Caenorhabditis elegans: one gene and its partner. The protein of the gene in region 2 purifies or fractionates together with the protein of the main gene of each other region. This does not show direct contact. Each region holds a gene or a part of one and is shown on either strand. Other genes may lie near its edges.

Region 1 (4,909 bases), on a different chromosome or scaffold from region 2:
ACGAGCACGGAACTCTGGTTCCGCTCATAAATTGAAATGGAAGAGTTTTTGCCGAACTAGGCCAGGTCATATCTGGGGGTAGATTTACGGTGCGTTGCGTGTCGCGTCGCGGCTCGATTTTTGTTGTAAAACTAAATGTATTTGTCCGTGTGGAGTACACGACTTTCCCAAGGCGATTGTCAATGGAGCGCGAAAAATTCTATGAGGAAGGCCAGAACCCCCTGTTTTCCATGGTCTCCCGGAGTGTTCATAATTATTCGAGCACGACACCTCACGAACTCCAGAATTCGCGGGAATTCGATTCGCGCGGGGACAGCAGTTTTTGGCTATTTCCGGCTTCTATAGAAATTCTTTTTTGAATTTTTTGATTTATAATATTGTTGAGAAGCATCATACGAATTGAAAATGTGTAAAATTATGAAATTTGACCGAAAACTGAAGGTTTTACTTCAAAATCTATCAGAACCGTCAGTTTTTCGATTTCGTAGTCGTAAAATATGTCATTTTGTAGAGAGAAAAGAGTATTTTACAAAAATCGACGTTTGAAAATTTAAAATTGTTTTTATTAAAAACTGAAAATCTTTTATAAAAAAAAACGATTTTAAAGTAAAATTGTTGATTTTTTGAATATTTTTATATTAGAAATTAAAGGTGGAGTACCGAAATTTGAGACTTTGCTTTTTTAGACCTAAAATGTTCCAAAACTACCGAATTTCGTGGTGAGGCGTTCTGAAAATTTCTCAACAAAAAAGTTATGTCCGTTCAAAGTTTTGGAAAAAATGGTAGATTTTTAGCTAAAATCTCAAATATTAGCAGCTTTTCAGTGTTGCAGCGGTTGGAACTTAATTTTATTTGATTAGCACTCTTTAATACATATTATGGTAGTTTATTACGCGTTTATTCGTTGATTTAAGCCCATTTTCGGTCGATGGGTGCACAAATATAATACAATTTTGTGCACCCATCAACCCAAAATGGGCTCAAATCAACGAAAAAACGCGTAATAAACTACCATAATATGTATTAAAGAGTGCTAGTCAAATAAAAATTGAGTACCAACCGATGCAGCACTGAAAAGCTGACAAATTTGAGATTTTAGCTGAAAATAGACCATTTCTTCCAAAACTTTGAGCGGTCGTAACTTTTTTTTGTTGAGAAATTTTCAGAACGTCTCATTACGAAATTTGGTAGTTTTGGAACATTTTGGGTCCAAAAAAGCAAAGTCTAAATTTTTGGTGCTCCACCTTTAATTTAATATAAAAATACTCAAAAAAACAACAATTTTACGTTAAAATCTTATTTTTTCTAGACTTTTCAGTTTTTAATAAAAACAATTTTCAATTTTAAATTTTCAAACGTGGATTTTTGTGAAACAGACTTTTATCTACAAAATTAAATATTTTACGACTTTGAAATCAAAAAACTGACGGTTCTGATACATTTTAAAGAAAGCCTTCTGTAAAACCGTCAGTTTTTGGTCAAATTTCATAATTTTAAACATTTTCAATTCGGAAAAATGCTTCTCAACAACATTATAAATCAAAAAAATAGAAAATAATATCTATAGAAGTGCGCGCGAAACGAATTCCCTCGAATTCTGGAGTTCGTGAGGTGTGCCGCGCAAGGGATTTTAACGAACATCTCGTTCCATAGCCTGTGCTGGATTCATGGGAACTGCGGCAGGTCTCGAAAGAAGCATGTGGTTGAAGAATGCTCGATCCGTCTCCACTTTAACACGAGAAATGTCCTCGTCGAGCTGGAAAATTTAAAGATTAAAACGTTGTTTTCATGATAAATTATTAATTAATCACGGCCACCTGGAGTGTTCATAATTATTAGAGCGCGCTCGCGCGGCACCTCACGAACTCCAGAATTCGCGGGAACACGTTCCGCGGGAACAGCAGTTTTTTTTATTTTTGACTTCTATAGGAAATATCTTTGATTTTTTGTTTTATAATATTCTTGAGAAGCATCATCCGAATTGAAAATGTGTAAAATTATAAAATTTGGCCGAAAACTGAAAGTTTTACAGAAGGAAGCCACTACAGTTTTTAAAAAAATGTATCAGGACCAGTTTTGCGATTTATGTGTCGTAAAATATGTCATTTTGTAGAGAATTAAAAGTTTCATAAGAATTTTTGTTTGAAAATTTAAAATTGTTTTTATTGAAAACTTAAAAATTGAAGAAATAAGATTTTAACGTAAAATTGTTGATTTTTTGAATATTTTTTTATTAGAAATTAACGAATTAAAATTTCAAACGAAAATTTTTATGAAACTTTTAATTCTCTACAAAATGACATATTTTACGACGCATAAATCGCAAAACTGGCGATCCTGATACATTTTTTCAAAAACTATAGTGGCTTTCTTCTGTAAAACTTCCAGTTTTCGGCCAATTTCATAATTTTACACATTTTCAATTCGGATGATGTTTCTCAAGAATATTATAAAACAAAAAATCAAAAATATTTCCTATAGAAGCCAAAAATAACAAAAAACTGCTGTTCCCGCGGAACGAACTCCCGCAAATTCTGGAGTTCGTGAGGTGCCACGCGAGCTCGCTCCAATAATTATGAACACTCAAGGAGGCCGTGATTAAGTACTTCTTCCTCGTCAATATCATCCATTACAGCTTCAGGCACGTCCACGACACCTTCATCAGTGAGAGTATCCTCGGCGGTGTGACTTTTCGGCTGGCGGCTCGGAAGTTCGATGCCACGCTCCCCAAACATCATCTGCTTCTGAACTGAGTGCGTCTGACGTGTCCAGTCGCCTTCTGAACCGCCTAAAATACCGCAAAGCTCCTGCTCGACGCCATTTCGGACTGTGAATTGCTGCGAGTTCTGGAAAAAGGGAATTTTTCGGTGTTTTTAACATTTTAAACATTATTTACAAACCTCTTGGCCGACACGGTTGGTTTGGAAAATCGGATTAGCAAGCAATTGTGCGAATCCTTGATGATCAACTCTTCCGAGGATCTCCGTAAACTGTAGCATCCTGAATTGAATTAAAAATTGAGAAAATTACTGGTTTAGGTTTTTTCAAGGATTTACAACATTAACCAGTTTACATTAACCACATTTTCCAGTTTAAACCCTGAAAAATATGAAAATAATCGAAAAATATCGTTAAAAAACGTTTTAAAAACCAAATAATTCTCGTTTTTCGCGGCAAAACGAAAATTAATTTTGAAAAAATCGGTGCAACGACACTCCGAAATCCCGCATGAATCCTAGGCCAGTATTTCGAGTTCTAGGCCACCAGCTTCTTGGCACATTGCCAAGAGCTGAATTTAAATTAATTTCCGCTGGAATTGAATCGAATTCAGTACAAATTGAGTGGGAAAATGAAAAACTTACAAAAAAATTGAAAAAAAAAACATTTTCGATGAAAATGTTTCAAGAAAATTGAGTATTATTTTTAAAGAAAAACGAAAAAAAAGACATAAATTCGGGAGCGTGTCGTAGCATCCACATTATCGACTTTTCCGGTTAGAAGTACACCGCCAGATGGTAGATCGGTCTCAGGAACTCATGGAGCAGATAATAAATCACAAATTGGATGATTTGAACACTAAAAAACATTAAATTTCTTTTAAAAAAATGAATTATTTAGTGACAGTTGTGTCGAGAGCTTTTTTAATCAGTAAATGTTTTACTGGTCTATGGAAAATAATTATAAGTAAAAATTACTGGAACACAGAATTCAGAGAGCCCGTATTGCGCAACATATTTGGCGCGCAAAATATCTCGCAGCGAAAACTACAGTAATTCTTTAAATTCTTTAAATTACTGTAGTTTTCGCTACGAGATATTAATAATTTTGCGCGTCAAATTTGTTGCGCAATACGCATTCTCTGAATTTTGTGTTCCCGTGATAATTCAACAATTTTTCAGTGTAAAACAAATCAGGGATTTCTTTTGAAAGTTTCGGGTTTTTTTTCCACCACGCGGGGTACTGTGGCACCGGTTTCAGCTGTGTCAATGGGGAAATGTGTGAAATTGAAGCATTCCCAGGCATGATGGGGGTCATTTTACAGCTGAAAATCGAGAAATTCGAATTTAACGACAATTTAAAGAACATTTTTGAAATGAAAAAATTTCCAAAAAAATTGTTTTTTTTTCCCCAATTTCACTTTTTTCTCTAAATTACTCTAAAATTCACATTCTCCTCATTCTCAGCTTCAAAATGACTCCCATCTTGCCCATTTTCTGCCAAATTTCAAATTTTCGGGTCCCACCACGCAGGGTACTGTAGCACCGGTTTCAGATGTGTCAGTAACCTAAATAGAGGGTTCTTAGGCATGATGGGGACTCATAATTTGAAATGGAAGAGTTTTTGCCGAACTAGGCCATTTTGGTTCGGCCATATCTGGAGTAGATTTACGGCGCGTCGCGGCTCGGTTTTAGTTGTAAAACTAAATGTATTTGTCCGCGTGGAGTACACGACTTTCCCAGTCCGGCGGGCGATTGTCAATGGAGCGCGAAAAATTCAACGAGGAAGGCCAGAACCCCGTGTAATTTTACATTAAATTTCGCTTTTGTTGATTAGAAAAACAAGAAAATATATTCATAATTTTCTCTAAAAACAAAAAAAACCAATTTTTATAAAAATTTCGTAAAAACGGGACACTTAATTAGAGTACTACGGGGTTATTGCCTTCCTCATTGAATTTTTCGCGCTCCATTGACAATCGCCTGCCGGACTGGGAAAGTCGTGTACTCCACACGGACAAATACATTTAGTTTTACAACTAAAATCGAGCCGCGACGCGACACGCAACGCGCCGTAAATCTACCCCAGATATGGCCGAGCCAAAACGGCCTAGTTCGGCAAAAACTCTTCCATTTCAAGGGAAGCCAGAAATCAGTGTGTAATGTGAATACACCAAATTCGACGCGCAAAG
Region 2 (7,757 bases):
CCTGGTGACAGTACCACTATCAGAACGTGCAAAATGACATGAGCTAATCTCCTCAAAGCGAATGTACATGGCTGGCTTGTGAATGAACAAAAATCCTTTTTCCATTGGGTACAATAATCCAGGGTTCTGACGATGTGTACATTGAATGGCAGGGGTGCCCGAGCTTCCCAGGAACCGTCCAGGAACAGTGATTTTTAAATTGCAAATTGATTTGAAGAGAATTGAGATTGTTTCATAGATTGGACCAGTCATGTCACGTCGTAGATTCCCATTGCTAGATTCGAGTTGTTCACTAAAAATATAATATTTTTAGACGATTGTCCGATTTTTCGTAAAATCTCTAGATAAACTCACTCAGTAAGTGCCAACTCCAAATCTTGTTCCTCGTCTTTTCCAAACTCAAAAATGAGATAACTGTATCGTGTCTGTCCCTGACGGATTGGTGGATTCAACGACAACACAAAATATACATGACGTCCATCTTTATGAGGTACCAGGAATAGACGATTGATCGACTTGATAGGAATCTTGTAGTCGTACGTTTTTCCATGAAGTGCAATACTTGTTGGATAAACTTTGATGTCGTATCTTCCACGAGGAGTTGTGCATAGAATGTCGGTGAGAAGACATATCGGTTGCTCCGTCTCGGCTTCCAATCCAGCGTATGCCAGAACAGCTTTCTTGAATTCTTCAACTTTATCAGCATCCTCCTCATTTTCAAGATCAATTGGCATATGGAATCTCATCTCCATGAGCTGAACTTTGCTATCATCATTTTGGTGGAACTCCAAAACTGCCTCATTTTTGTTTGCAATAACATTCGATACATTCGTGCACGGGATTTCGAAAATTGGCTTATCTTCCCATGAAAATTCAACAGTCTTGCCTTTTACTTCGGCTTGTCCGTAGTTCCATCCTTTGATGAAAAGATTTGATTGATCGATGGATTGAGACCAATTAGAAGAAGTGAACGATTGGATTTTCTCGAGGTCCTGAAATTTCAAGTTTGTGATTGAAGTTTTTTGAAAAGCAGCAAGAAAGCAAGAGTGTTTTAAATGAAACTAAAAACAAATCAAAATGAAATGAACAAAAAACTAACAGTATCTTTGAATCCTCCGAAGCGGTGAGCACCTCCATCGTTGAGACCGACTCGTAGTCCCGGCTTGTTGCCAAGTTTTTGCCATTTCAGTTTATCGATATCGGATCCCGTGACATTAACTGATTTTCCACCCTTATCGCCTTTGAAGTTGAGTGATTTTTCAGTCAATTTAAGTGTTCCGAACGCCAAATGACCTACATCTTCAACATAAACTCCCGGGAATTGGAGCTCAGCCATTCTGAAAATTGTTTGTCAATAAGTCTAGTTAACGAGAGAGAGAGGGAAGAAATCGAAAGAAGAGACTTCAGAAAGTATACTCCAGCAGAATGTAGCGACACTGAAAGAAAATATCGATTTTCCGAGCGAAACTAATTACGAAAATAAACCCTCTTTTCGGTGAAATTTGTTCTGGTTTCTTGCAATATGAATTCATGAATTCAATATACTCATTACCAGAGATTGAATATGATTATTTATAATTTAAACAGAAATAACGAAAAGATTTCGATAATTATCATCAGATTCGTATCGATTCTAGAAGAAAAATTGGGAAAAGTGTTGCATTATTTTTGGCGCGCCGAAGCGAAAACAATAAACTACGGTATTCGATTGTACGTGAACACCGAGCATTACTTTGTACGCAAACATGACACCTGACGACATTTCACAAGGATTCATACTTTTTCGTTTTTTTTTCTCAAAAATGTCTAAATTTTCTGATTTTTATAGCAATCGTCGCTAATCAAATAATTTCAGGGCAATGGACGACGATTTGGACCAATTTTTCCATGATGATGCGGAGCAGAATGTAAGAAATAGCAAAATCTCATGTAAATCTTACCAAAACCTTTTCAGGCTGATTTTTCGGATGATGGCTCAGAAGATGAAGCGCCTGACAATGTCGATGTCAATTATGAGTTGGAGAGGGAAGAACCCAAAAGCAAGTCTGTTGCAGAATTCACTAAATTTTTGCAAGAATGCGAATATCCGGATGACATCATAAAATACTTTAAAACGATAAAGTTTTTCGAAAAAGACGCAAAAACTGGAGATATTGTTTCTACAAAATCACTAAAGTTTACTGTAACCGGTTTCATTCAATACTTGTTTGGCACGAAGCGAATTCAGCGTCCAGTTCTCAGAGGAATCGCTAAAATTTTTGGAAGATATGATATTTTCCACTTAATCTCCCCGGAGCTTGTGAAGTCTATAACGGTGAGTTAAAATATCTGTATTTGTTTATACGAATCACACATTTTCAGCACCTAAAAGAAACTCGCACCACCGCCTGGTTCAACCTGTTCAATTTTCTTTCATTCGTCCCGCACCCAACTGATCGAGTGACGAAACCATTATTTCGCCAGTTTTGTGTCAGAACTCCATTCAACGATAAAAGTATGAAAAAACGAAAGCTGACATGGATCTCAACTGACTATGACAACGTTTGGATGGCTGTTATGAATGGAAAAATTAGTGACAAGTTGACACTGAAACTTATTCCATATATCACTCAGAACGTCATTTCGAAATTGAAAGCACCATTCAAATCTGCTGATTTCTTTTTCAAAATGTTCGACAAAACTGACTATCATGGAATTCTTTCGCTTGGTGCTATTTTTCGTCTTATTTCAGAACATAACTTGTAAGAGATTTTATTTGAAATAGATTCATATAAATCTTTATTTCAGTGAATATCCGAAATTCTACGACAAAGTATATTCATTGACGAACCCATCTCTTCTCTATATGAGTCAGAAAGAATCCATTCTGACACTTCTGGATAGTTTCCTGTCGTCTACGTGAGTTGCAATATTCTAGAAAATTTATTCTGAATCATACCTTTTCAGCCATCTCCCAACATACATCACTGCTTCGTTCCTCAAACGACTCTCCCGATGCCTTCTTCTTGCTCCAATTGATGCTCAGGAACCAATTCTTGGATTAATTAGAAATCTTGTGATTAGACATCCAAACTGTTCTGAATTGGTTCATCGTGAGGTTCCTCAGACTCTTTACGATGATCCTTTCGACAATGATGAGACAGATTTACACAAAACTCGCGCATTGGAATCAAGTCTTTGGGAGATGAAACTTCTTCAATGTCACTGGAATCAAAGTGTCAGAAAACGAGCTCATTTCGTTGATAAATCGATTCAAAAAATTGAGTCTTACGTTCGATTCCGATGCACCGACGAGTTATTCTCTGTAAACATGGCAAAATCATTTGGCGGAGAGGATGGAGAAGCTGAAAAATATCGAAAACTGCAAGACGGGGATGAAGACGAAGAGGGAACAGGAAAGCCGGAACCGAAGAAAGCTCGTAGAAAAGGATTTGGTGGGAAATTCGCTCCAAAACACGAAGAAAAAGTCACAAGAGCAGTCGGTGTGAACTCTGAAGCGCCGAAAGGAATTCTTGATAGACAAGTTCCAATCATCGATGTTCCAACTTTATGGAAAATTTAATCAGATTTTTTGTTACAGTTATTGTTGTTCCACTTTTGTTGTTGTTTTTCCGTTTTCTCGTTTTTATATTTTAAATTTTCAAAATAGTACTGTTGTTTTTCTTTTAAAATAATTATTCCAGTGTTTTATTCACTGAAATCATATTTAAATTAAATATCTTGTTCCAATTTCTTATCCATTTTTCTTTTTTTGATTAAAAATATTTTTACAGTTCACAATGAACCTTAACAGCCCAGCTGTATCAATGCTTGGCGGTGACACCCCTGCACATGGTGGACCGAATTCCGTACTTGGAGGTCAAGGACCCTCATCAATTCTCACGGGACACGGTCCCAACTCTGTAATGGGACCAAACTCGATTCTTGGACCTGGAAGTGTTCTCAATCCACAATCAATTCAACCAATGCAATCACAACAAATGCACAGTAAGTTATTTGTGGAAAACTCATTTCAGGGTTTTTGCTTGAAAAGGATAAAACTAGCCCAAAATTAACTAATTTTTTTTAAAGAGACTGCTCATAAAATTTTCACTATTTTTTATGGCATGACAAAAAGTAAATTAACAAGAAATCAGAATTTTGCTGAATCCCGAGACTTCTATCACAGCAGCTGAATTACAGATTTTTTGAATTATCACCCTTTATAGAATATTTTGTTAGTTTTTCGTTAATTTCGGCAAATTTTTATGTCGTTAGGCGTCTAAAAATGAACATAATTGGCATGTCGATCATAAATGGGACTGAATCGACGATGTGAAGCGAGATAAACAACTAAATTATAAAATTATAAATTGTTCAATAAAATACACTAATTAAAAAAAACTGTATCCTAACTGATGCGACAAGGAAAAGTTAGCGAAATTTCAGATTTAAGCGAAATTAATACGTTTTTTTTTCGAAATTTTAATATTGTACAGTTTAAAAAATTTATGAAAAAATCTGATGAACTCTCTGTGCACGTTTATTTTAGCCGTGACCAGTCTTTCAACTTTATAACCTTTTTTCAGTCTTAAAGCCGTTTGTCAAAATTAAAGATTTATATTATTTCAGGCCTTCAAGGTTCTTCAATGCAAATGCATTCACATCTCGCCAACTCCAATCTCAACTTGAACATAAATCCAGCTTCAGTCGGACCTGATCGTAATCCTGGATCAGTTATGCATCACAATTTGGACATCAATCCTCCATCAGTTGCATATCAGAATTTGACAGTTCCAATGACACCACTTGCATATTCTGTATATGATCGAGATGCTCTGACACATCAGGCTCCGGCAAGTAACATCGCTGCCACAATGGTTCCAGCAACTCCAGCAAGTCAATTGGATATTCCGATGCCAGCTCTTCAGAACATTGTCTCTACAGTCAATTTGGGAGTTCAATTGGATTTGAAGAAGATTGCATTGCACGCGAGAAACGCCGAATACAATCCAAAACGTTTCGCAGCAGTCATTATGAGAATTCGTGAACCAAGAACAACTGCTTTAATTTTTTCGAGTGGAAAAATGGTGTGCACTGGTGCGAAGTCAGAAGAAGCAAGTCGATTGGCAGCACGAAAATATGCGAGAATTGTTCAAAAGTTGGGATTTCAGGCGAAATTTACCGAATTTATGGTAAGTGTTTCTGGAAAAAGGTCACAAAATCATTTGAATAATTTTTTTGTAGGTTCAAAACATGGTTGGTTCTTGTGATGTTCGTTTTCCGATTCAACTTGAAGGATTGTGCATTACTCACTCTCAGTTCAGTACTTACGAACCAGAATTGTTCCCTGGATTAATTTATCGTATGGTCAAACCAAGAGTTGTGCTCCTTATTTTTGTGTCTGGAAAAGTGAGTTTAAGTTATGAAATAACCTTTTCTATGTTAAATTTTCAGGTTGTTATCACTGGAGCAAAAACAAAGAGGGACATTGACGAAGCATTCGGGCAGATTTATCCAATCTTGAAGGGATTCAAAAAATAACTTTCTTTTATTAAAATTGTTTTCATTCTTCTTTATTTTCAAATTTTTGTTTCATTTTAAGCCTTCCCTTATCCCTAAACCCGGATCTCGTATAATACAGGTAAAGTAGCTTCATTTTAGACATCTATGCACTTTAGAACCACTTTCTTCAGTCTACCAATCCGATAAAATCGTTTCGAATTCAATAAGCTTTCGATTAATTACTGCTCACCATTTCTCCCCGTACCTTGTATAATTTTGTTGATGTTATTTTTTTTTGAAGAAGTGACATTATCAATGTTCTTTTCAACTTTCCTCTTGTTTTTCAAATTTCTCCCGTATTATTGAGAATAAAGTATTAAAATAGTTGTTGTTCAATCTACGAAATTGAATTTCTGATAATTTCTGTAATATATTTATTCATATTTCAAATTTATAACATTTCAGATTGAAATTTATCGTTTTAGATGATTCCAGCTGATATTATTGCATCAATTGCTGGATTAGTAAATGAAAAAGATATTGAAAAGGTATTTCATTGGTTTCTACATTTTCAGATATAAAAGAATATTTCTTAACCCGACAAAACTCGGATTTCGATCTCACTGTCAATTCTGTTTTTAAAAAAGTAATTAAGTTTCGAATTTAGTAGAATTTCTCCAAAATTTTTTTGCCAAAAGACTAGGAAAATTTAAAAAAAACAAACAAACTGAAATTTTAAAGGTTTAGTGAAAAAACTCCGAAAGAGAAATTGAAATTAGTGAAAACACAAGAAAACCAGAAAGAAAGTCGATTTTAATTTATTTTGAATCCGTAACAACTCAAAAACTTGAGCAAAAGTTTCGAGACCCGAAGAACTCGAGGGATGTCCAACTGGGGGGATTACCAACTCGGGGGATTGGCCCCGCCCACAGAACCGTGGCTTGCAATACGCCCATTTTTGCAACTGCCGCACGGTTTTAAAATTATTTTTCTTGTTAATTCTCGCTCTATTGAGAAAAATACAGTTTTAAAACCGTGCGGCAGTTGCAGAAATGGGCGTATTGCAAGCCACGGTTCTGTGGGCGGGGCCAATCCCCCGAGTTGCTAATCCCCCCAATTGGACATCCCCCGAGTTCTTCGGGTCTCAAAGTTTCAAATTAAAAAAAACAACACTAGAACCATAAACATCACATGTTGCTAAAGAATATCCGCGAAAAATGTAGAATAGTTTTTTTTGGATTTTTTTCCAAAAACTAATTTTTCGTCAAAATACAAAAAAAAAACACATGGTTATAAGATCGCTCACTTTTGCGCAAACAGTTTTTTGAAAATATAAAGATTCATAGTATCCGAATGAATTCAATTTTTTCAGATCACTTCTGAGTATCAGGACAACATTTGGGAATTCGTGGAATCACTTGTGACTCATGTTCTTGCCAGTAATCATGTTGGATATTCTGGTAAGAATGAATATTTTAACACCCTAAAAATATTAAAACGAGATAGAAGTTTGGAAAAAAAATTCAATTACAAAACTTATTTTTTTTAATTCAAAAATCGTACAGTAGAAATAATAGTATAAGGTTCGATGTGCTCTGTGAGCCAGAAGCTGCAAAAAAGAAGTGCAACAGGCTGGCTTCTCTGTGCTCTCCAGGCGCCGGTCGGTGTATGGGCTCGGCGCTCGGCGCCCGGAGCCTCTGTCTCTGTTGTGTTACTTCGTGTGTGCATGTGCTCTGGAGAATAAGGAAAACGAAGAGAAAAAAGCAAAGACGAAACGAAAAAAAAACGGGGGAAAAAGCAAGCACATGCATGCGAAAAGTGTGTTGAAACTGGAGAACTTCTCGTGCTATGTGGAGCCAACGACAGCGAAACGAGTCGGCGGCGATGGTTGGGTGGATGAGGGCTTCGTCTAGTGGGAATCGACGGTTTGGTTCGATTCTCTACCCCTTCCACGACGCATTGATTTTAGGTTAGGCGGTTTTGCAATAATGAGATAGGATTCCTCTAGGGATGAGGATCAAAATAAATCTATTTTTGAATTTTTCACAAAAAATCAACTAAAAGTCGTAACTGTAGCAAATCGTCAAAAATTGTAGGCATCCTGAAGAAACCTGGCACCAAAAAATCAGAAGGACTGAAAAAAACCACTCATTATTTTTGAATTTGGATTTTCTCAAGTTTCAAAAGAACAGAAAATTTTCAAGCTATTTTCAGATTATAACACATCCTCGTTCATATCAGAAGAACTCGCTCGCCAAAAATTATCATGTGGT

The links.
Region 1: the proteins of tbp-1 (region 2) and npp-13 purify together in Caenorhabditis elegans (affinity purification with western blotting, with the first as the bait; one study listed by BioGRID). This does not show direct contact.

What each region holds. Positions count from the first base shown.
Region 1 is NC_003279.8:2,095,437-2,100,345, reverse strand, and holds the start of npp-13 (Nuclear pore protein), read right to left. Parts: upstream 3,001-4,909; 5' UTR 3,000-3,000; coding exon 2,901-2,999; intron 2,847-2,900; coding exon 2,607-2,846; intron 1,757-2,606; coding exon 1,640-1,756; intron 1-1,639.
Region 2 is NC_003281.10:7,380,260-7,388,016, forward strand, and holds tbp-1 (TATA-box-binding protein), read left to right. Parts: upstream 1-3,773; 5' UTR 3,774-3,779; coding exon 3,780-3,987; intron 3,988-4,611; coding exon 4,612-5,174; intron 5,175-5,226; coding exon 5,227-5,391; intron 5,392-5,436; coding exon 5,437-5,523; 3' UTR 5,524-5,865; downstream 5,866-7,757. Other genes in the region: hmg-4 (FACT complex subunit SSRP1-A), read right to left, coding at 1-292, 355-992, 1,100-1,336; T20B12.3 (nucleolar complex associated 4), read left to right, coding at 1,860-1,907, 1,955-2,314, 2,362-2,741, 2,788-2,898, 2,947-3,562; Tetratricopeptide repeat-containing protein trd-1, read left to right, coding at 5,970-6,032, 6,857-6,944, 7,699-7,757. UniProt on the Caenorhabditis elegans protein: The TFIID basal transcription factor complex plays a major role in the initiation of RNA polymerase II (Pol II)-dependent transcription.